Linked DNA regions of Arabidopsis thaliana. The protein of the gene in region 1 interacts with the protein of each later gene in a biochemical or structural test. Each region holds a gene or a part of one and is shown in the gene's direction. Other genes may lie near its edges.

The links.
Region 2: of the proteins of HDA6 (region 1) and HIS4, one has a biochemical effect on the other in vitro, tested with the Arabidopsis thaliana proteins (one study listed by BioGRID).
Region 3: the proteins of HDA6 (region 1) and FVE form a complex in vitro, tested with the Arabidopsis thaliana proteins (2 studies listed by BioGRID).
Region 4: the proteins of HDA6 (region 1) and HOS1 form a complex in vitro, tested with the Arabidopsis thaliana proteins (one study listed by BioGRID).

Annotation. Positions count from the first base shown.
Region 1 is NC_003076.8:25,314,988-25,320,209, reverse strand, and holds HDA6 (histone deacetylase 6), read left to right. Parts: upstream 1-1,862; 5' UTR 1,863-1,982; coding exon 1,983-2,522; intron 2,523-2,939; coding exon 2,940-3,380; intron 3,381-3,474; coding exon 3,475-3,617; intron 3,618-3,875; coding exon 3,876-3,966; intron 3,967-4,063; coding exon 4,064-4,194; intron 4,195-4,306; coding exon 4,307-4,376; 3' UTR 4,377-4,704; downstream 4,705-5,222. Other genes in the region: AT5G63120 (P-loop containing nucleoside triphosphate hydrolases superfamily protein), read left to right, coding at 47-273, 796-1,029, 1,125-1,243; AT5G63100 (S-adenosyl-L-methionine-dependent methyltransferases superfamily protein), read left to right, coding at 4,787-5,222. UniProt on the Arabidopsis thaliana protein: Responsible for the deacetylation of lysine residues on the N-terminal part of the core histones (H2A, H2B, H3 and H4). Might remove acetyl residues only from specific targets, such as rDNA repeats or complex transgenes.
Region 2 is NC_003071.7:12,328,837-12,332,017, reverse strand, and holds HIS4 (histone H4), read left to right. Parts: upstream 1-1,958; 5' UTR 1,959-2,063; coding exon 2,064-2,375; 3' UTR 2,376-2,673; downstream 2,674-3,181. Other genes in the region: AT2G28725 (forkhead box protein G1), read right to left, coding at 3,075-3,181. UniProt on the Arabidopsis thaliana protein: Core component of nucleosome. Nucleosomes wrap and compact DNA into chromatin, limiting DNA accessibility to the cellular machineries which require DNA as a template.
Region 3 is NC_003071.7:8,453,985-8,460,148, forward strand, and holds FVE (Transducin family protein / WD-40 repeat family protein), read left to right. Parts: upstream 1-1,771; 5' UTR 1,772-2,021; coding exon 2,022-2,305; intron 2,306-2,660; coding exon 2,661-2,724; intron 2,725-2,817; coding exon 2,818-2,904; intron 2,905-3,013; coding exon 3,014-3,076; intron 3,077-3,249; coding exon 3,250-3,315; intron 3,316-3,459; coding exon 3,460-3,534; intron 3,535-3,671; coding exon 3,672-3,747; intron 3,748-3,820; coding exon 3,821-4,016; intron 4,017-4,126; coding exon 4,127-4,208; intron 4,209-4,288; coding exon 4,289-4,362; intron 4,363-4,436; coding exon 4,437-4,548; intron 4,549-4,633; coding exon 4,634-4,708; intron 4,709-4,812; coding exon 4,813-4,880; intron 4,881-4,964; coding exon 4,965-5,064; intron 5,065-5,149; coding exon 5,150-5,251; 3' UTR 5,252-5,658; downstream 5,659-6,164. UniProt on the Arabidopsis thaliana protein: Core histone-binding subunit that may target chromatin assembly factors, chromatin remodeling factors and histone deacetylases to their histone substrates in a manner that is regulated by nucleosomal DNA.
Region 4 is NC_003071.7:16,611,168-16,618,665, forward strand, and holds HOS1 (ubiquitin-protein ligase), read left to right. Parts: upstream 1-1,609; 5' UTR 1,610-1,773; coding exon 1,774-1,863; intron 1,864-1,999; coding exon 2,000-2,390; intron 2,391-2,675; coding exon 2,676-2,810; intron 2,811-2,900; coding exon 2,901-3,076; intron 3,077-3,564; coding exon 3,565-3,966; intron 3,967-4,084; coding exon 4,085-4,243; intron 4,244-4,347; coding exon 4,348-4,839; intron 4,840-5,257; coding exon 5,258-5,395; intron 5,396-5,609; coding exon 5,610-6,247; intron 6,248-6,472; coding exon 6,473-6,635; 3' UTR 6,636-6,955; downstream 6,956-7,498. Other genes in the region: AT2G39805 (Integral membrane Yip1 family protein), read right to left, coding at 66-234, 422-502, 602-659, 1,133-1,186; eIF6B (Translation initiation factor IF6), read left to right, coding at 7,292-7,301, 7,397-7,498. UniProt on the Arabidopsis thaliana protein: E3 ubiquitin-protein ligase that mediates ubiquitination and subsequent proteasomal degradation of the transcription factor ICE1. Acts as a negative regulator of cold signaling pathways.

The DNA of each region.
Region 1 (5,222 bases):
CCTTCTTATATGATATGATACTTATGCCTTTTTTCTCGTTTGATAGGCTCCTTACACTACTTAAACAGTTAATGGATGGGAGTAAAATCCTAATTTTTGTGGAGACAAAGAGAGGGTGTGATCAAGTGACTAGACAATTGAGAATGGACGGATGGCCAGCTCTTGCCATACATGGTGACAAGACCCAATCGGAAAGAGACCGAGTCTTGGCAGAATTTAAGAGTGGACGAAGCCCGATAATGACTGCCACTGATGTAGCAGCAAGGGGACTTGGTAGGATTAACTGTGATACACAATAGGAGAGATTATACTTAGAGCATTTCGTTTTCTTGGGGTTTTAAAGATAATAAAAAAAGTCGCCTGGCTGCCGCTTTCCACAGTTTCCTCTGGTATTAGGGAAAAAAGCACATAGAAAGAAAAAAGGAGCTTCTTTGAAGAATTTGTTTCCTGCATCCATCTCCCGGGCATGGAGCTGATTGGTTTTTGAGCAGCCTGGGCGACTGACACCTGCATGCATTAATAGTGTTATAACGCCGTCCCAAACACTCCTTATCCCTGCAAGTTAAGGTGGGCACATTTACTTGGGAAAAATGTGTTGCTCTTAGTTTCTTGATCTTTCCAGATCTGCAGTTGTAGGGATAAGGGGTTCTTGTTCTCTATCCTCTCCTTAGCTAGGCTTTAAACACCAAACTCATTTACACAAAGAAATTTCTGTTCTTCTTCCTGCATTTCATCTCAGTCTATGATTTACTTCTCAACTGTGTTCCTTCTTTCTTCTTTTGTTTTGTTTTACAGATGTGAAGGACATTAAATGTGTGGTTAATTATGATTTCCCAAATACATTGGAGGATTACATCCATAGGATTGGTCGAACCGGGCGTGCAGGAGCTAAAGGAATGGCCTTTACATTCTTCACACATGACAATGCTAAGTTTGCGAGAGAGCTTGTCAAGATCCTTCAAGAAGCTGGTCAAGTTGTACCTCCTACTCTCTCCGCACTAGTCCGATCATCTGGTTCTGGTTATGGAGGTGAAACCTCATTTCTCTTCTCTCATTTGATGAGTTCAATCAATCTTGCTAAATTTTGGTACGAGGATCTGATTCAATTTTGTTGATTTGTTCAGGTTCAGGTGGTGGAAGAAACTTCAGGCCAAGAGGAGGAGGACGTGGTGGTGGGTTTGGAGATAAACGGTCAAGATCGACTTCAAACTTTGTACCTCACGGTGGAAAGAGGACTTGGTAAAGAGAATCCCATCATTTTGATTCTATGAGAAAACCTTTAATTATGATGATGATGATCAGCGTTTGGTTTCGACTAGAAGTTCTTTGTCGTAGAGAACAAACATTTACTATATAACTATTTAGCTGATTTCGCTGCTTCTTCTTCTTCTTCTTCATGATATTTCTAAACATTTTGCCTTTTTCTTAATTCTATCAACTAAATACACTTTACTACTTTACTCTCAAGTCAACCGTAACACTGTAATGAAACTTGTTTTTAAAAATCGGATGTGGATTATTAGGTTGGGAGATTCAAGTATTGCGAATAGAATTTAGACAAATGTAAGCATCTATAACATCTAGAACATGTATATCTTCTCTTTTTTCCCAACAACATCTAGTTACGAATCCTTAAGGTGAAATGTGTAAATAGATCATACTTAGCTAAAAAACCCTTTACATTTATTTGTCTAACATTGTCTACCATTAGGAAAACAAGTTAAAAATAATTCGCTATGTTTGAATCGAATTTGGAATTATATAATCGATCGTTAGTTTAACATTCAGTAATTATTAAAATTAAATTTTTAACGCAAAGATAATAATGTAAGTAATCATTAATGTGCGTGTATATATAAGCTGTGCCCACAACTCCTAGTAATGACTTTCTCAGGCATTGTTGACACAAATTTTGCTCTGAGTAAAACTTGGGAATAGAGAGAGACTCTGAGTGAGAGAGAGATTCTGAGTGAGAGACGGAGATGGAGGCAGACGAAAGCGGCATCTCTCTGCCGTCGGGACCCGACGGACGTAAGCGGCGAGTCAGTTACTTCTACGAGCCGACGATCGGAGACTACTACTACGGTCAAGGCCACCCGATGAAGCCTCACCGGATCCGTATGGCTCATAGCCTAATCATTCACTATCACCTCCACCGTCGCTTAGAAATCAGTCGCCCTAGCCTCGCTGACGCCTCCGATATCGGCCGATTCCATTCGCCGGAGTATGTTGACTTCCTCGCTTCCGTTTCGCCGGAATCTATGGGCGATCCTTCCGCTGCACGAAACCTAAGGCGATTCAATGTCGGTGAGGATTGTCCTGTCTTCGACGGACTTTTTGATTTTTGCCGTGCTTCCGCCGGAGGTTCTATTGGTGCTGCCGTCAAATTAAACAGACAGGACGCTGATATCGCTATCAATTGGGGCGGTGGGCTTCACCATGCTAAGAAAAGCGAGGCTTCTGGGTTTTGCTATGTAAACGACATCGTGCTAGGGATTCTGGAGTTGCTCAAGATGTTTAAGGTAAATGCTCCATTCCTTCTTTATGATCTCATCATAGAGAACTTCTTCATGTTCTTCTGAAATTTTTAGGGTTTAAGCTTATCTTGAGTGGTTTTTCTTAAATCTACCTGAAACCTTGAAGCCTTGTGTGATTATCGAATGAGCTTTGATCCTTTCATGTTCCTAAACTGCATATTACCTTTAGAATCTCATGTTAGGTCAAGTGCATCAGGTGTTTCTGATAAGGATGTTGATTTGTTTGAGAATGGTTTTCTACATTGCCTCTTTGTTTTCATCGTCTGGTTCTTTAAGTTTCTCTAATTAGGATTCCGTTGCTTTGTTAATGTATTCTGATAGCATCATTCAAAATGTTGATTGAGTGTGGAACGATGTTTCCATTGCTTACATCTTAATGCTTTCATCAAATTTTGTTTGCAGCGGGTTCTCTACATAGATATTGATGTCCACCATGGAGATGGAGTGGAAGAAGCGTTTTACACCACTGATAGAGTTATGACTGTTTCTTTCCACAAATTTGGGGACTTTTTCCCAGGAACTGGTCACATAAGAGATGTTGGCGCTGAAAAAGGGAAATACTATGCTCTAAATGTTCCACTAAACGATGGTATGGACGATGAAAGTTTCCGCAGCTTGTTTAGACCTCTTATCCAGAAGGTTATGGAAGTGTATCAGCCAGAGGCAGTTGTTCTTCAGTGTGGTGCTGACTCCTTAAGTGGTGATCGGTTGGGTTGCTTCAACTTATCAGTCAAGGGTCACGCTGATTGCCTTCGGTTCTTAAGATCTTACAACGTTCCTCTCATGGTGTTGGGTGGTGGAGGGTATACTATTCGAAATGTTGCCCGTTGCTGGTGTTATGAGGTCTTTTCCATCTCCTTTGCAGTTCTTCTATGTTTTTTGATAATCATATAGGTTTTTGTTCTTGAAAGTGTTTGTTTCTGTTGCCTCATCGCAGACTGCAGTTGCTGTTGGAGTAGAGCCGGACAACAAACTCCCTTACAATGAGTATTTTGAGTATTTCGGCCCAGATTATACGCTTCATGTCGACCCAAGTCCTATGGAGAATTTAAACACGCCCAAAGATATGGAGAGGATAAGGTAATATCTCCTACTTTCCATTTTTATGGTCATTGTACTTCAGTTGCCACTGAACTTCTAGCTAGTCCACTCTAATTTAGTAATTTTAACATGCTAATGATGCTCCCTCGAGATTGTAATTCTGTATGTAACATATGAGTTTATCTTTGTGCCGGTTCCAAATAGTTAACGAAAGCTTTACATGTTCAGTAGCTTACCTTCTTAGCCTTGTCAATGGGATATATTGAACTTAGAGAAAGTTACTTTTTGAAATTTCAGGAACACGTTGCTGGAACAACTTTCGGGACTAATACACGCACCTAGCGTCCAGTTTCAGCACACACCACCAGTCAATCGAGTTTTGGACGAGGTAATTTTTCAGTCATCCATTTCTCTCTTTGATGTTTTTAGTTGCGTTCTGTCCTATTGACTACCAACTTATTAAATCTGCTATCTCAAATCCTTAGCCGGAAGATGACATGGAGACAAGACCAAAACCTCGCATCTGGAGTGGAACTGCGACTTATGAATCAGACAGTGACGATGATGATAAACCTCTTCATGGTTACTCATGTCGTGGTGGCGCAACTACGGACAGGTAATTAAAAACCTTCCTCCTACTCAAATCTACCAACACTTGAATTGATCCTCATTGTCTAACTTCTTAACAGGAGATAAATAATTTAATTGATGTCTCTTAAAATCTACAGGGACTCTACCGGTGAAGATGAAATGGATGACGATAACCCAGAGCCAGACGTGAATCCTCCATCGTCTTAAACCAGCTTGATGGTTTGGTGTCTCTTTTGCCATATGATAATGTCGGCAGATTTAAGAAACAAGTTAGGGGAATGAATGATTCTTTGATGTTTTTTCAGCAACCTTTTGAGTTCTGTGAAAACGCTGCATTGATTAGAACAGTGACAACTGACTAGTATTTTGGCCCAAGTTAGAAAATCAGAATATGTGAAAAATGCAAAGAAACTTTTTAAAAAAAATATGGGCTTTTACTTCTTCTTTTTTTTTTACTTTCTCCGAAGTTGTTGTTACCAAACCGAAGAAAACCGATTGCAATAGACCCTAAAATTAAACCATTGAAGCTGTTACTAAACCGAACGGATTTAAACAAACCACTGAAGTCTCATCATCACCCAAATTCATCGAAATTTTCCCGGTAACTAAGAACAGGCATGGCCAGGGAGCTTGTGTCTCTTCAATACCTCCGACCTCCACTTCACATTTCTCGTCAATTTCTAAACCTCTCTTCTCCTCCTTTAACTCTCAATCTCCGGCCAAAACCTCCGCAAAATCCAATCTTTATCCGAACCGACTCTCACCGCAACAAAACTTCCGCCGACGATAACGGAATCCCAGCAGAGGACGTCAAAACCATCGCCAAATTCAAATCCCGTCACAATTACATCAGAGTCATCGAAGTTTCACGAAAAACCAATCACCCACTCGCTGGTTCTCGTCTCCTCCTTCTCGATAATCCCGGTAACATCCATAGCATCTCTTTCCTTCTTAAAACCTTAACCGATAGTTACTTCGACGTTTTCGCTACTCTGCCTCCGATTATACCTCCCGGACCAATTGGTATTCTCGGATTCGGAGCTGGTTCAACAG
Region 2 (3,181 bases), on another chromosome or scaffold:
TGGGAATAGGTGACAATGCCCAAATCTGTCTGGAATGCGGACAATGAAAAAGGATGTGATTAATAGTCTCCTCTTCCGCTCCGCAACGAGGACATCCTTTATCTGTGCCAATATGTCGGTAGACAAGTCTTTGACAAGTGGCTAGACACCCCGTGATACATTGCCACGCAAAATGCATAAGGTTTCGCGTAGTTTTAAGCTTCCATACTTGTGCCTGAAGTGCAAAAACACTCGGTCCCTAAAAAGGGAGGTCACAAGTAGGACGAGACAAATCTCGCGCAGCCCAATACCCGGATTTAATTGTATAATTTCCGGATTTAGTGTGGGACCAACTAAATCCATCAAGATAGTGCTTATCTCTTCCAAATACGACTAACATGTTGTTACTAAGATGTTATTACGATGATTTGTGCTTAGTTGACAGAATGAGTCATATATCTTGTGAAAATTGGGATAGTCAAAACTCTTTTGTCAAATTAACGGATAATAGTTAATAGTGGTGTTTAATCTGAGTATTTGTTTGAGTTTCTGATTTATGAATCTAGTATATGTCAATTGGTACAATCAAAGAACCACATTATATATCACTCACACCATTTTTTTAAAAGATTGAATCAAGAACACACATTGTTAAGAGAACACTTAAACAAAACTAGTGGCTCTCCTCTCTTTCTCTTAATATGTGTTCGGTCTTAACACGTGATAGGTAGAGAGTATTAATTAGACAGGGTATATACTAGTTAATTGGAGATACTTTCAACCAATCCGCTGTAGCACACATGTTTATTTCAATGATGAAATCTGGGTTCAAACCCGGCAGCGGAATAGTTTTTTTCTTTCATTTTGGTAAAGGACCGATCCAAATATACCTTAACAAGTTGACTTTGCAAGAAAAAACCATTGGAGAAGAGCAGAGTTTTGATCTTTGATGAGCTTTGTGTTGAATGCGATTCATGAAGGAATTTCTTGGCTGCAAGTTTCTTTCATCAAGATTTGTGCGTCTAGTTATGGTATGAAGCTAATACCAATATTTTGCATATCATTTTGTAGTTGAAAGAAATCTTATAACAGAAATTTTGAGTTCATTCTTCAAGATTTAGATAAGTCTTCAACTTGTTGAGAATTCTATGACAAACACTCATGGTATTCACTTTGGAGATTAAATCAAGAACACACGTTTTACGAGTTTTTCGAGATCGATATGATCCTAGTACATTTCAGCAAGAACAACACCTTGTAATTTACCATCAGTGGAGTTTTTGAGTTATAGAAAAAAAGGAGAAAACAAAAAGACTAGATATACAAGAGCTTTGGAGCTCAAGGGCTTTATAACAATATGGTTTTCAGTTAGAATAATAATCGTCACCTCCTTACAACGACATTGCTTCATTCTAGCTAAAGCACACATCCTTACGTTGTCCTGTAAAAATGCTTCAAACCAGAACATTCCAACAAAAATAGAGTCTCGTCTCTTCTTACGGTTAGTACACAGTAATTGTTTCTATTAATTCAATGGAGTTATGTTCAACATATCCACTATACCACATTTGGATTCAAACCCTTATAGTAGAATATGTTTTTTTTTTTTTTCCAAGTGCATTCAACTTGTCCAAATAATAATAATGTAAAAAAACAATTTTTAAATTTTTTAAAATATATGGATAGTAAAAAAAGAGATCTGAGAATTTACCTTTTTTTATGGTAGCTGAAAAGTAAAAGTAAAATATACTCCATAGTTATACTAATTATTTTCGATATCCATTGTAATTTAGTACATATAACCGGTCCGGTTGACTCACTTGGTTCAAAAGGAAAAATCAAAAATCCACAATCCGTGACTAACATAATAACCCAATCTACAACCGTCGATTCATTAATAATCAAGGATCCATATATCTCATAAACCTTTCTCACGGATCGTTATCTTTGACCGTCCGATCAAACAATAAAACGAACGGTCACGATTCATTTTCTAACCCAAACAATCTTCTTTATAAATAAAAAATAAATTCTTCTCTACTCATCAGAAAACTCAAATCTTAAAACTTTCTGGAAAAACAAAAATGTCAGGAAGAGGAAAAGGAGGAAAAGGGTTAGGCAAAGGAGGAGCAAAGAGACACAGAAAGGTTCTAAGAGACAACATTCAAGGAATCACAAAGCCAGCGATTCGTCGTCTTGCTCGTAGAGGAGGTGTGAAGAGAATCAGTGGATTGATCTATGAAGAAACGAGAGGTGTGTTGAAGATTTTTCTGGAGAATGTGATTAGAGATGCTGTTACTTACACTGAGCATGCGAGGAGGAAGACGGTGACTGCTATGGATGTTGTTTATGCCTTGAAGAGACAAGGAAGAACTCTATATGGATTTGGTGGTTGATCAATTTGAGATCTGGGTTTTCTGGTGAATGATGATGATTTAAGTCTTGCGATCAAGAAATTCCAGAAATTGGGTTGAATTTTAGGGTTTCGTTTTGTGTTGTAATTAGGGCAGCATTGTAATGGATTAATGATAAGTACCATTTGCTCTAATTACTCTTTAATCTCTGAAATTCATGGTAAAGGATTATCAATCGAAAACTAATCAAAGGAATTGATTGAACTATGTTTTTGAAGATTGAAAAACAAATAAGGACTAAATGTGAGCAATTTAAAGTTTAGAGGTATAAGAATCGAATGACAAATATGGACTCAATGTGAGCGTTTTAAAGTTCTTAGCTTTATATATAAGATTCATACACTTAATTGGCTTATAATATTTCTTGCAAAAAATCATTTTCGCATTCCCTAGTGTAAGAATTTGTTGTGAAAATTATTCAGAGTTTTGTGAAATCTAATGACACGTCATCGATCCAACACATATTTGTAACGATACATTCATCACCGTCAGATCAAATAAAATGAACGGTTAATATAAACAAGAAAACAGTTTCTAAAACAAAAAAGAAAGGGCCCTACCGGATTCGAACCGGTGACCTATTGATCTGCAGTCAATTGCTCTACCACTGAGCTAAGGACCCTTATTGATTAATTAATATCAATTACATACATATAACCCATAGATATGACGAAAATGTCATCAACATTGTTCTTCGATTTCTTCTACAACACCTTCAATACCAAAACATGATCGTAATAAAGAAACAGAAGCAATGACCATAACTCCTGCGAATATCGTTGGTAAAA
Region 3 (6,164 bases), on another chromosome or scaffold:
TGGAAAATTGCTTTGTAAAAAGCTAGATATTATGTTTCGTTTAGTATATCTTTGACTCATGATATTTGACATTTGATTAAAAATCATGTTTGCCTTACATGCATAATATCTTAAATGCTTGTATCACATGTCTCTAACTACCACGAAAAACTTTGTGTATAAAAAATTCAAATCTTTAATTTTTGGACGACAAATTCATTAGCGTTACTAATTTCATTGTACCTATCAGTTTTATGACGATAATAATACAATTTATTTCGTCCCAAAAAAAATAATATTTATTTATTAAGTTAATAGGAAAATAGGTGTAAATATACAAATATGTATATGTAATATGCAATTAGAGAATATATGAAACACCACTATACTATCAACATTAATATTAGTAAGATGAGAAACATAAATTAGATGATTTGAGTCAATATTTTTCCCTAGTAATCTTAGTAATAGTTTTTTTTTTCTTTTATTTGCATAGTTCATATACATATTTGTATACATATATGTTGTGCAGATCTAAAATTTTTGTTTAATACCTATTTTGCACCTCTACCAAATAAATTGTGTTAGAATTTTAAAAAATTCATAATCACAACAAAATTTCTAACACTATTTAATTTGTTGATCATAAAAAATCTGAATTTTTATGCACAAAACGTTTCTTAATAGTCAAAACTAGTGATATAAGAAGTGCAATGCCAAGAATTATAGAGATTTGAAGCGAAATTTTAAAATGACATGATTATACATAACTTTTAAGTTCTAAACTATAATCATAATAAAAAAAATTAAGATATTAAATAGAGCGAACAGACGTTTAGGTTTTTTTCGGATTTACCATATTCATCAGATTAATCCATGCTGGATTGAGAAAAAGCCTCAAGCTTGGAACAACTACATGTAAATCATAACCTCGAGATATTTTAAGGCTTTCAATGTCCCAAAGAAAGTTATTTGGTGTCGAATCCATGAGTGAAAATTGAGCTTTTCACATAGAACAAAGAGGGATATGAAATAGTACAATTTTATGTTTTAAATAAAGAAGATAAAATGAAAGGTAAATTTTATAGGTTTAGCCAGCAGAGAACAAATGAAATGAATGTTTTAAGTTTAGACACCAAGAACAAACTTAGGGTTCAAGTCTAAGCTTAGTCATATACTTCTGAACAATATTGGACTTTATTGTTCAAGTATTAAACAAACATTGAAATCTTCTTAAATCACTTTTCAAAATGCAACGAGGATCTATTCTTTTTTTTTTTTTCAGAAGAAGCTACAAGAAAGAACAACAAGTTTGGATATGAATTATAAAGTTAGTAATCCATGTAAGAGACGCTTATATTAATTAATTTATACTGTTAATTATTTCATCCGTAATTTTTATTATTATTCAATAAAGTATTTATTTTACTGAATTAAAAAATAATAATTATGGGTGTTTGGATATTCGGTCGGGTATTTTGGGTTTGAGTTTTTCGGGTTTAGAATTTTAAGATCCGTTCGAGTAATTCAAGATTCCGGGTCGGGTTTGGTTCGGTTTCGGGTTTAGTTATATATTGAAATATCAAAATTTTGTGTCCGAATCTATTAAATTATTTGAAAATTTCAAAAATTCCCTAAACAACCCGAGTAGTTTTGCTTGAATATATTTAAAAATACATAAAAGTAACTAAAATATCCGAAAAATCATAATATTGTCTATATGTAAATATAAATATAAATATTTTAGTTATATTTATATTTAAGATATGTTTGGGTACCAGTTCGGGTTCGGGTTTTTCAGGTTTTGAAGTTTAGATTCAGTCGGATATTTGAAAATTTCAGGTTCGAATTTAGATTGGGATTTTTGGATTGGGATTTTTGGATCGGGTTCAGATCGGTTTTTTCGGATTCAGGTATTATGTCCAAAGTAAAAATGGTAAACGGTGGTTGTTTTGTTTGTATTTGTAAAGCAGAAGAGAGAGAGATATAGAGACACTGAAAGCAAAGACCAAAAAAGAAAAATTAAAAAGAGAGAGAGGAAAATGGAGAGCGACGAAGCAGCAGCAGTGTCTCCTCAAGCAACGACACCGAGCGGAGGAACCGGAGCTTCTGGGCCGAAGAAGAGAGGTCGGAAACCTAAAACCAAGGAAGATTCTCAGACGCCGTCGTCTCAGCAACAGAGCGATGTTAAAATGAAAGAAAGTGGGAAGAAAACGCAGCAGTCGCCGAGTGTTGACGAGAAGTACTCTCAGTGGAAAGGTCTCGTCCCCATTCTCTACGACTGGCTCGCTAACCATAACCTCGTCTGGCCTTCACTCTCTTGCAGGTCTCCCCCTTTCTCCTTTCCTCTCCTTCTAGGGTTTCGTTTCGTAATCGTTTCTTAGCTTTGAACATTCTCATGTTTGGAATGAATTTAGTAAAATCTTACACATACATTTTCTCGATTTCTGGGTTTAAGTGAGATTGTTGCGATTGTTCTAGTTAGGGTTTTGGATGTGGCTCTGTCTTCATACCTTGATATATCTGATGTTCTATTCATGAATTGTTACTATTGATTACCTTGTTGGTTACTAATGACTAAGAGGAATTTTCAGTTTCTCTGAGTGTTTATATCTGATGAAGTCTTTAGTTGTTGTGCTAAGAGTTTCCATTTGGTGAATTGTTGTTTGATTTTTTTATAGATGGGGTCCGCAGCTTGAGCAAGCAACCTACAAGAATCGCCAGCGTCTGTACCTCTCAGAGCAAGTAAGTTTTTAGCTTTCTCTTGTATCTTGTTGTCTCATCTTCTTTATATACTTCTCATCGTATTATTTGTATTTTTCTTGGTTGTGTCACCAGACTGATGGAAGTGTGCCCAATACTTTGGTCATAGCAAATTGTGAAGTTGTTAAGCCAAGGGTTGCTGCAGCAGAGCACATTTCTCAGGTATTATGTGGTTTAATACTAAGCTTGTGTCCTTTCCATATCCTACTCCACACTACAATTGGTTTCATGTTTGACACTTATATACTATCTTCTGAAAATGTGTTCTCAGTTCAATGAAGAAGCACGTTCTCCATTTGTGAAGAAGTACAAGACCATCATTCACCCTGGAGAGGTGTGAATTCTGCCCACTCTTGAGATATTTCTGTATTGACATTGTTCTTTTTAGTTCTATTTGGTTTGTTAATTGTATCTGCATCCCTGTTTCATCTGTCCATGAAGTTATTCGTTTGGCACGTTGGTGAAAGTAAATTTTGATGTGTATTCATTACTAATTTGCAATTGCAGGTTAACAGAATCAGGGAACTCCCACAGAATAGTAAGATTGTTGCTACTCACACCGACAGTCCTGATGTGAGTGCTGCTTCTATTTTGTTATGGTCATAGCAACTTGAAATATGTCGGTTTCATATTTCTGTATTTGGCAGTCAAAGAGCATCCTTTGTTCGGACATATGTCCAGTTTCAGAGTTATCTAAATACAATATGTTGATTTCAGGTTCTCATTTGGGATGTTGAAACCCAACCAAACCGTCATGCTGTGCTTGGAGCTGCAAATTCCCGTCCAGATTTGGTATGTCCACTTCTGAGAATGTTGTTTTATGCTTTATTCTTGTTTGTTTCTCATCATTGGAAGTGATAAATCTCTTTGATATCTTCTTAAATAGTGCTTCTTGTTTGCATCATCTGAATGAACCATTTTTCATGCAGATACTAACTGGGCACCAAGATAATGCTGAATTTGCTCTTGCCATGTGCCCAACGGAACCCTTTGTGCTCTCCGGAGGTTTGTGTTTCTGTAATTTGTAGAGTCCAATCCTGTGGTTTGCCAGTTTCTCATACAAAAGTTCTTCTCTTAGGCAAGGACAAGTCAGTTGTTTTGTGGAGTATCCAAGATCACATCACAACGATTGGGACAGATTCCAAATCATCTGGATCTATCATCAAACAGACTGGTGAAGGTACTGATAAGAATGAGAGTCCTACTGTTGGCCCACGAGGTGTATATCATGGCCATGAAGATACAGTTGAAGATGTGGCATTCAGCCCGACGAGGTAACTTCTTAGAACAGACTCCTTCTATTGATATCGTGTTTGTTTATGCATACTGCAGATATTTTCATGATTTTCTAATAATACTTCTGGTGAACTTTTATACCGTGAAGTGCACAAGAATTCTGCAGTGTTGGTGATGATTCTTGCCTTATACTATGGGATGCGAGAACTGGCACAAACCCTGTCACGAAGGTACTCTATCTTTTGAATCCTATCAAAAGTTTGAAGATTTACCTCCTTTTGATATTATATCTTACTTTTTTGTTTTCCAGGTTGAAAAAGCGCATGATGCTGATCTTCATTGTGTTGATTGGAATCCTCATGACGACAATCTGATCCTGACAGGGTATGGAGAAATACATACAAATAGATGATTAATACATACTTAGTATCTAATTAAGAAATTGATGAATATTTCAGGTCAGCAGACAACACTGTCCGGTTGTTTGATCGTAGGAAGCTTACCGCTAATGGAGTTGGTTCGCCTATTTACAAATTTGAGGGACACAAAGCTGCTGTTCTTTGTGTTCAGGTATAATCAACTTTTTTTTTTTTTTTCCTTCTTTGTATGAAGTATATCTCTTAACCCACTGACACTATCTTGTTATTCAATTCAGTGGTCTCCTGATAAGTCATCCGTCTTTGGGAGCTCTGCAGAAGATGGTCTCTTGAACATCTGGGATTATGACAGGGTGTGTACATAGTTCACTCAGATGTCTAAAATTAATCTTTCTTCACTATCATCACTGAAACATATTCATTGTACTCATGTTTGGTTTGTTTAATTAACCATCAGGTCAGTAAGAAGTCTGATCGTGCAGCTAAAAGCCCCGCTGGGCTCTTCTTCCAGCATGCTGGTCACAGGTTCTTAAAGACTTATCTTGATTTTTCTTGATTGCTTTCTCATTTTACTTGCTTCTAAGTTCCCTTGTTTATAAACCATATTAGGGACAAAGTTGTTGATTTCCACTGGAATGCTTCAGACCCTTGGACTATTGTCAGTGTTTCTGATGACTGTGAGACTACTGGTGGAGGTGGAACATTGCAGGTAACCTTGAAATCTTTCTTGGTACCTTGATAAGCAATTTTATTGACATACCGTTAAATGTTGTTTATACTTTCTTCTATGGCAGATATGGCGGATGAGTGACTTGATTTACAGACCAGAAGAAGAAGTCGTGGCAGAATTGGAGAAGTTCAAGTCGCATGTTATGACTTGTGCCTCCAAGCCTTAAGAGTAAAGAAAACCCATTGTCTATCTATCTATCGCCTATGGTAAACTAATGCGGGTTTTAGCGAGGAGTCTTGGTTTTTGTAAGGCTGGTTTGTCTTTTGAGATATTGGTGGTAGCTTTTAGGACCTTTCCATATCAGTTAGGGGTACATGGTTCTGGTTCATGATCCTGTTTCATCAGACTCTTAGGTGCTGTTTTGTTCAACTGAGATGTTAATCAAATCGGACCAACTTTATGTGTTTTGGTTTAAGGTTTCAATACTTGGCCTGAACCTAATGATTCCTTCTCTGTAACTAGTCGAGACCAACCCGGCTACAAAAAAAATAGTTGCATTGATGTTCAAATGCAAAGCAGAAGGGGTCATTATAAAACAATATAGTAATAAGCATCGCAAAATTTGGAAACTGGGTTCTTGATGATTCGTCGCATCTTAAATAATGTTTGCATTGTCGTTTTCATTAGAAAAAAACTGTTAATCACGCTTAGCAGTAGGATTAGGTGATTTTCAATTCACAGATTTATTCGTAGGATTTTGAAGAAATTTTAAGTATTAACAGTCACTAAACAATCAGACCATTGCAAATCATACATAGATCACCTGGTCATTTCATAAAACTAAACTATATGATAATGTTTTACTTTATTGGGCTTAACGTTAATGGTCCTCCCGCTTAATAGGCTTTATGAAGTCTCTTGATGAGCTAGAGACTTTAAAAATCCAATCACAAAGCCTACATGAGACCGTCAAGATCAGTCAGAGAAGATCAAACGAAGAAGTTTTTGTTCCAAAAGATACTAAAGAGAGAAACATGAATCAATGTATTGCTTGAGGAATAAGGTAGGGAAGCTAATCAATCACAAGTAGACGAATCGGAGTATTTCATAAAATTAGGGTTTTTAGACCTACATTTTCT
Region 4 (7,498 bases), on another chromosome or scaffold:
AACTCTCTCATGGTAAGTACAATCACCAAGAAGAGTGAAGGAGAAAAAGGCATTAAAAGACTTACAAATCAGGGTTTGCATCAATCTTGTTGAAAAAATCTCCACTAGTAGGATATAAAGAGCTCATTAATCTGTTCAAAACAACGTCCGTGTCCACGTCGAAGTATTGGGTATATGAGTAGACATTAAAAAAGCCCTTCCAGTTGTTTGATGGCTGTTGTGCTGGTCCTTCTACTGGAGCAGATAAGATATATCACCATATAAGACAGAACAAGGTGAAAACAAAGGTATATAGGATCTTGACATCCATAAGAAAAACGAGGTTGACTCACACAAGTATTCTTTCAACCATTGTACTGATTCATGGTGACTACAGATAAAAATATCTCCTAAAAAAGGAATCTAAAAGGAGCATATATACCTGTTGGGCTCTCAAGAGTTTGATAACCCTTTGTATTGTTTCCTAGATTCGGTGGAAATATTTGCATGCTTGCAGAAGGGCCTGCAATAATGCAGAAGACATACAACACTCAATGTCTTTCACTACCGGAAAAGTTCTTTGCAAAAGATAATTCAAGCAGAAACTAGCAAAAGAACACACCTTCATTGACGCTTGCTATTGGTACATTTGTGCTTCTCTTGTCGTCGCTGATCACAGCCTAAGAATACAGATGTTTGTATCAGACATAATAACACGGGGATAGTCAATCCATTCACTCAAAACATTTATCTTAGCGGATTCAATCCAAAATGAAGCTATCATGCAAGCATTTAAACTCAAATACAGTTTTGTTTTTCATACGAATTGTCTCCTAAAATGGTGAAAAAACTTAAATAAAACGCCTTAACAAATATAGAAACCCAGAAATGCAAATAAGGAAATCGTCCATTGTTCTATGAGTGTGAAGACTTTAGGCATCATCGTGGACGCGAAAAAATATGACAAAAAAATCTGAAAAGTTTCAAAATTCTACTTCCTAATGTAACACTTGAGACAGAACAACAAACAAAATGATGGCATGAACAAAAAACGTTAATTTTCCCTTCACACAAACAAGGATCATAGAAAAACTCAATCAAAGAGCTTATTGATGGTGAAATGAAAGAAGCAATAGATGTAATATAGACTTACCGGAACTGAACCAAGCAAATGGCTTGATTGTAGATTAGCGAACGACTCATCCATCGATCAAAGAGAAAAAGATATCAAAGAAAAACTTAGAAGATAGGTTCTTCTAATCTCATTCAAAAATCGATAAGATCGGAAAAAAGGTCGTCCCTTTTTCTGAATTTTTAAGGTTTCTGGGTTTGCTTCTCCTCCTCCGTCGTCGTGGAAGCAATTGGGAAAGGAAGAGAAACTAAAGAAAGAACGATCCACGCGCTTTCTTAGCAAGTCGGTAAAACACGCGCTGTTCACTTTCGGACACGTGATTTGCCGACTTGGGCCCAGACAATCACAAGATTCACACAAGACTTCAAAAACAAAGGCCCATATTTAAATTTTGACCCGAATCGTGATTTGCCGACTTGGGCCCAGACAATCACAAGATTCACACAAGACTTCAAAAAGAAAGGCCCATATTTAAAATTTGACCCGAATTAAACAATCCGACTTGACCCGTTTGAGGAGAAATTCACTCAACAGTGTTTCCTCTCTTCGTCTTCCCTCCCGAGAAAGCTCAACGGAGCCCTAGACTGGTTTTATCACTCTCGCCAACACCAACCACGCTTTTTCTCTCTTTACCTCCATTTTTGTATTCGTCACCGGAGTAGATGGATACGAGAGAAATCAACGGTTTTGCCTCCGCCGCGAGATCGATATCTCTTCCTACGCAGCCTAATTACAGTAGCAAGCCTGTTCAGGTTCTTCCGCTTTATACCTTTTTATTTCTCCACTGAATTAGTTTAGCTCAGGTCTTAGGATTTCTAGGTTCAGCTTAAAAAAATGGGTTTTGCAGAGCTTAGAGTTAATTTCGAATTTATTGTTTGTAACTTACAGGAGGCGTTGAAACATTTGGCATCTATAAACCTCAGAGAATTATGTAATGAGGCAAAAGTTGAGCGATGTCGTGCAACAAGAGACTTAGCTAGCTGTGGAAGATTTGTGAACTATGTGTTGAATCCATGTGGTCATGCCTCCTTGTGCACAGAGTGTTGTCAGAGGTGTGATGTTTGTCCTATCTGTAGAAGTACGCTACCAAAATTTGGAGATAGACTTAGGCTTCGTCTCTATTATGAGTGTGTTGAAGCTGGTTTGATTTCCCGAACACATGAAGAGGCGTCACAGGATTCGGATGAGGATGAACATCAATTGGCAGCTGATGTTCATCGCCTTTATTCTCTGTTTGATGTTGCTATGAACAATAATTTGATCTCGGTGGTTTGCCATTGTATCCTTCAGTTGCATTTATGCTTGGTGTCTGATATATGCATTTAGTCTTTTAGTTTCCTGTTTGATACTTTCATGAATTTCTTTTAGATTCGTATGCTTGTGCTATTAGGAACTGTGTTTATATGGGGAGTTTTGTACTGATAGGTTCATGTATTTTTAGGTAGTTCTTGTTTCATGCTTGTCTCTGTTGGGCGAAATGTGCATAGTGTTTTTGTCATTCATTCTCTAAGAGGTATTTTATGTTGGATGCATAGTTGACATCTCCTTGACAGAAAATTAATAGATATCACCAATGTCTGTATGGATGAGACAGCTGTATCTAGTGATCCGGTCATTGCTTTCTTGCTGGATGAAGTTGTTGTCAAGGATTGGGTCAAGCGTACATTCCGGAGCACCTTAGCTGAACTTCAAGAAATCTGTATCCTTTTAGCTGTTAATATTTTTATGTTTCTTAAGACTGTATATTTGTGCACCGTAAGGTCTGTCTATCTTTAATATTGGCCCTCAGATAATCTTGAAACAAAAGAGATGCAAGCGTGGTTAGATAAACTCCTAAGGTGTTCCAAACAGGTGGCTGGCATATGTAGTGTGCTCGAAGTTATGGAATCAGCTTTTAAGGGTTCTGTGTCACCTCAGCTTCAAGATGTGCAGACGCTGAGAGAGAACATTGGTAAAACAAAGCAGGTCAGCCATGATTTCATTTCATTGATATCCAAACAGTTTTGCAAAAGTATGCTTAAATAACTCTCTTTATCCCCCTTAGAAATATCCGTTGTACATTGAAGTTTCCTACGTGCATTAATGTTTAGTTTGCCTCTGTCATAGAATGAGTTACTTGTTTTGTATACGGCTTGCAGTAAAGTTTGTACTGTAAAAGCTTTGCATTTAGATGTATGAAAGGCACGATAATGGTCTTCCATCATCAGCTTGGATCTGATTTTCTATCCCTAGCTTTGTGACTTTATTCTTCTTTTCTTTTTTAATGTCATTGCATATTAGTGAATGTAGATGGGGTATATGTAACCTATCTTTATATGACATACTGAATAGTAAATGAGTATAACCTTATGGCTTCTGACCAGAGAGTGTTTTAAATAGATCAGCTCTTTAGCTATTGGTGCAAGATCACTGAGCTTACGTGTGCTTACCCTATTCTTTTTATTTTATTTCAGCATTTGGACATAATGGTCTGGTGCATCAGACATGGATTTCTGGATGATGTGAGGTCTCGATATTCGAATTTCACATCGTGGAATGCACTGGTAGGGGAAAGAAAATCAAATGCAGTTAAGCGTGCATGGCCTGATGCTGTAGACCAGTCTTCAGATTGCAGTGTACAGAGTGCTTCCCTCTTTATTGAGGATGCTTTAGAAAATCTTGAGAGAGAGCCAGAATACAGTCAGGAAATAGGTGCCGACCTAGAAGTTGGACGTTTACAGAAGGATAAGAGATCATTTCTTAGGTCCAAAATAGAGGGAACTTCAGGATCTTATCCATTTGAGAATCTTAGAACTGCTGCTGACATGCTCTTTTTACATGGCGGTTCAGATTTGGTTGTTGCGAAGCAAGCAATTGTATCCTTTTGTCATCGCCTAGTTTCACATTACATTGCACTTTACTTTTAATGAATACTTGAATCAGGAAACATTCCCATGTTTTTCCTTTACGCTGGTTTCCTTAACCAGAAGATAGTTTCTTTACTACCTGTTTGATCGGCATTGGACTACCCCTGAAAAATATTGGAAGCACACTATAGATGATTTTGCTGCTACGTTTGGCATAACGAGGCATTCATTGCTGGAGTCTTTTGTATTTTATCTTCTCGATGATCACTCAGAGGAGGCACTCCAGGTATCTTTTGGCATTCCCAAGGAAAACTTATAGAAACGTGTATTTTATTGTGCCATACATTTATTAATTGGTGTAGCTTACAAACTTTCCAAATTATATTTCAGGAAGCTTGTAGGATTCTACCTGAAATATGCGGTCCAGAAACCTACCCCAAAGTTGCGCAAGTCCTGTTAGAAAGGGATAACCCTGAAACAGCTCTTATGGTCTTGCGTTGGTCTGGTCGTGATGGTGTATCAGAATTGGTTTCAATTGGTGAAGCTGTCACAGCTCTTCGTGTGAGAGTGGAATGTGGTCTTTTGAGTGAAGCATTCACATACCAAAGGACACTCTGCTTGAAAGTAAAGGAAAATAATTTGAAAAATGGAGCTGTGAAACATGCGTCTGATGATCTAGACATCTGGAGTTGGACGGAATGGATGGAGATACTTGTCAATGAATTCTGCTGTCTTTCTATTCGGAGAAACTTGGTTGATCGAATCATTGAGTTACCGTGGAACCCAGATGAGGAGAAATATCTGCACAGATGCTTATTAGATTCGGCAACTGATGACCCCTCATCAGCTGTGGGTAGTCTCTTGGTTGTCTTTTATCTTCAGGTAAGTAATTATATTTTCAAACTTTAAATAACTTCACTTGAACAATGGGCTGAGAATTGTTTTTCAGAACGAGAATAGCTTTAGCAACAGGCAAATAGATATTTAGACAGCAGCTTAAACCTCCCGAGCTTTAAGCTACATATTGAAAATTTTAATAAGGGATCTCAATGATGGCTCTGTATAGAATTAGCTCATTCTATAGAGACTGGTATATGTTCTCGTATTTGATGTGTGGCTTCAACAATCTTTTATAATTCGAGCTTGGTGTAGTCTGGGATGTTGGTTAACAAGCATGAAATTATTTGAACAACCAGGGAAACTGCATCACTATAGACCATGCTTATTTTCTGGAAAGTTATTATCTTTTGTATATGGTCTTTCTTTGACTAGAAATTACTGGTTGTTCACATTGCTGCAGCGCTACCGTTACATCCAGGCATACCAAGTCGATCTTAGGCTTCAGAAAATCGAAGAGGCTTTCGTATCCGACAATCAAATTGGGGAAGAAGTTATGTTCAGAATGCGATCACAGAGTCATTGGAGAAAAGAGTTAGTTGTAAGTATTTCAGCCAACTTTCCATGTACAAGTGGATCCTTCCATAGTTCCTTGTTAAAGGCTACATCCTCACATTTGCGTTTTAGTGCTTAATAACCTGTTGATGCTTGCAGGATTGTCTAGTATTCTGAAACTTGAATGTACAATATTACTTGATACTGGCTTTTTTTAACTGGACATTTAAACCTCCCGTGTCTCTGCTCCTTTGAAACAGGATAGAGCCATAGATATACTTCCAGTAATTCAGCAGCAGCAAGTTAGATCTGGACAATTTTCTGAGATGGAAGATGCCTCTGAAGGAGCAAAAAAATCTGATCTTCCTGATGCACCTGACATGATTACTTCTTCAGTTCCCTTTGCCACTACTAATTCCGTTTTTCTCCAAAGTGCTAACAATGCCAGAGCTAGAGAGCCAGTGGCTAATAATGGCAGTCCTTTTCAACCTGGTCATATGATAGGAAACGCGTCCCATGATCTTTCACATGGAAGGTTATTTACAAACGCAAATAGAGGACAAAAGAGTGAAGTTAGAAGCGTAACCAAGAATCTGAAATTCGGTGAAATGTCAACTCCGTTCAAAGATCTAAATAGAGCTCGTGGGAACAGCCAGCTCCAAGGGAAAAGGACTGAAGAATCCTCTCCAGAAGTAAATGTTGATAGATACATAGAGAATAATATGAGCTCTCCTTATCTCCGCCGAATCACAGCTAACAATCCCGTGACAGTGAAATCTAGCAGCAACCATCTCAATGGATCTTCACAGAAACCGGAATCCACCTTTTTTGGCACAAGGATGCAACCAGACAAAGATAACTTTGTTGATTTGGATGATCCAATGGACATGTCTTCGAGGTATTCCTCTCTTCTTTATCTCTTAGCCATTTGTTCCTTTCTGAATCGTGCCATTAAAGTAGAGGACACTGGTATTGTTTGGTATAAAACTATTGTTACCGTTTGGTTTGAAAATAAAGTCCAGTTTGGTTTCAGTCTAAGGAACTTTGTTTGGTTCTTATGTCCACGGCTTTTAGTCTTATATTGGATGAGCTACATATCAATTGTGTGTATTATGAATTGCAGCTTAAAGGACAACAACAACAATGTCTTGGCCACGGAGAGCAGAAATAACAGTGGTGGATTGAGATGGCGGTCAGATGAAACAAGCGATGACGAAGATGAACTGACTAGTTTTGGTTCCATGCCGGTGAAGGGAAGGAGGAGACGTAGATTCGCAGCAAGATGAAATGAAACAAACACTCGAAAAGACCATCATCAATTATGTTTAAAGCATAGAGAAAGAGAGAGAGAGGTAGAGCAAGTTGTGTAAAGAGGGGAGAGAGACTGTTACAGTGAGCGTTGTTCTCCTGTTATTTTTTGTGCTGAATTTTGTGTATTTCTTCTCTAGTCTACCTTTTTTGGACAGTTATTTTAAAGATATCATTGTGATGAGCGGAGTGATATTATTATTATGAGTATGTTTAATTTCTTATATTGGTGCAGCTGATTGTTGAATCGTAGAAGTTATAACAACACATTGAGATTAAATCATTTTCTTTTTACATTCACAATTTCCTCTCAAAATTTTAATTTTTAACTTTTTTATTATTTACCAAAACTAATAAATGGAAATAAGTAGCATAAGCTTGTTCCAAGTTTCTGATATATAAATAGGGTTTTCGGAAGAGAGAATAGGGTCTCTTCCTATCGTTCCGTCACTTTTTGTTCCGATTTGTCGACAAGGTAAACCTTAAAACTAAATCTTTCAATATAGCATAACCAATGATCCGAAAACCTAAATCTTTCATTCTCTGTTTCTGCCTTGGATCTGTATTGAAATTCATAATCTCATATTAGGTTTTCGTGTTACTTAATTCCGCAGGTGTTTGTTGGATCCATATCATGGCGACTCGTGAGTTTCCCTTAAGCTTTAGCTTTTTATACGATGCTTTCTTTTCAAGTTGCTTACAGGATTGTTCTTTTTTTTTCTGTTCTTGTTTTTGGCAGGTCTTCAATATGATAACAATAATTGCGAAATTGGTGTCTTTTCCAAACTCACAAATGCTTATTGTCTCGTTTCCGCAACATCTGCCTCCGCAAACTTCTTCA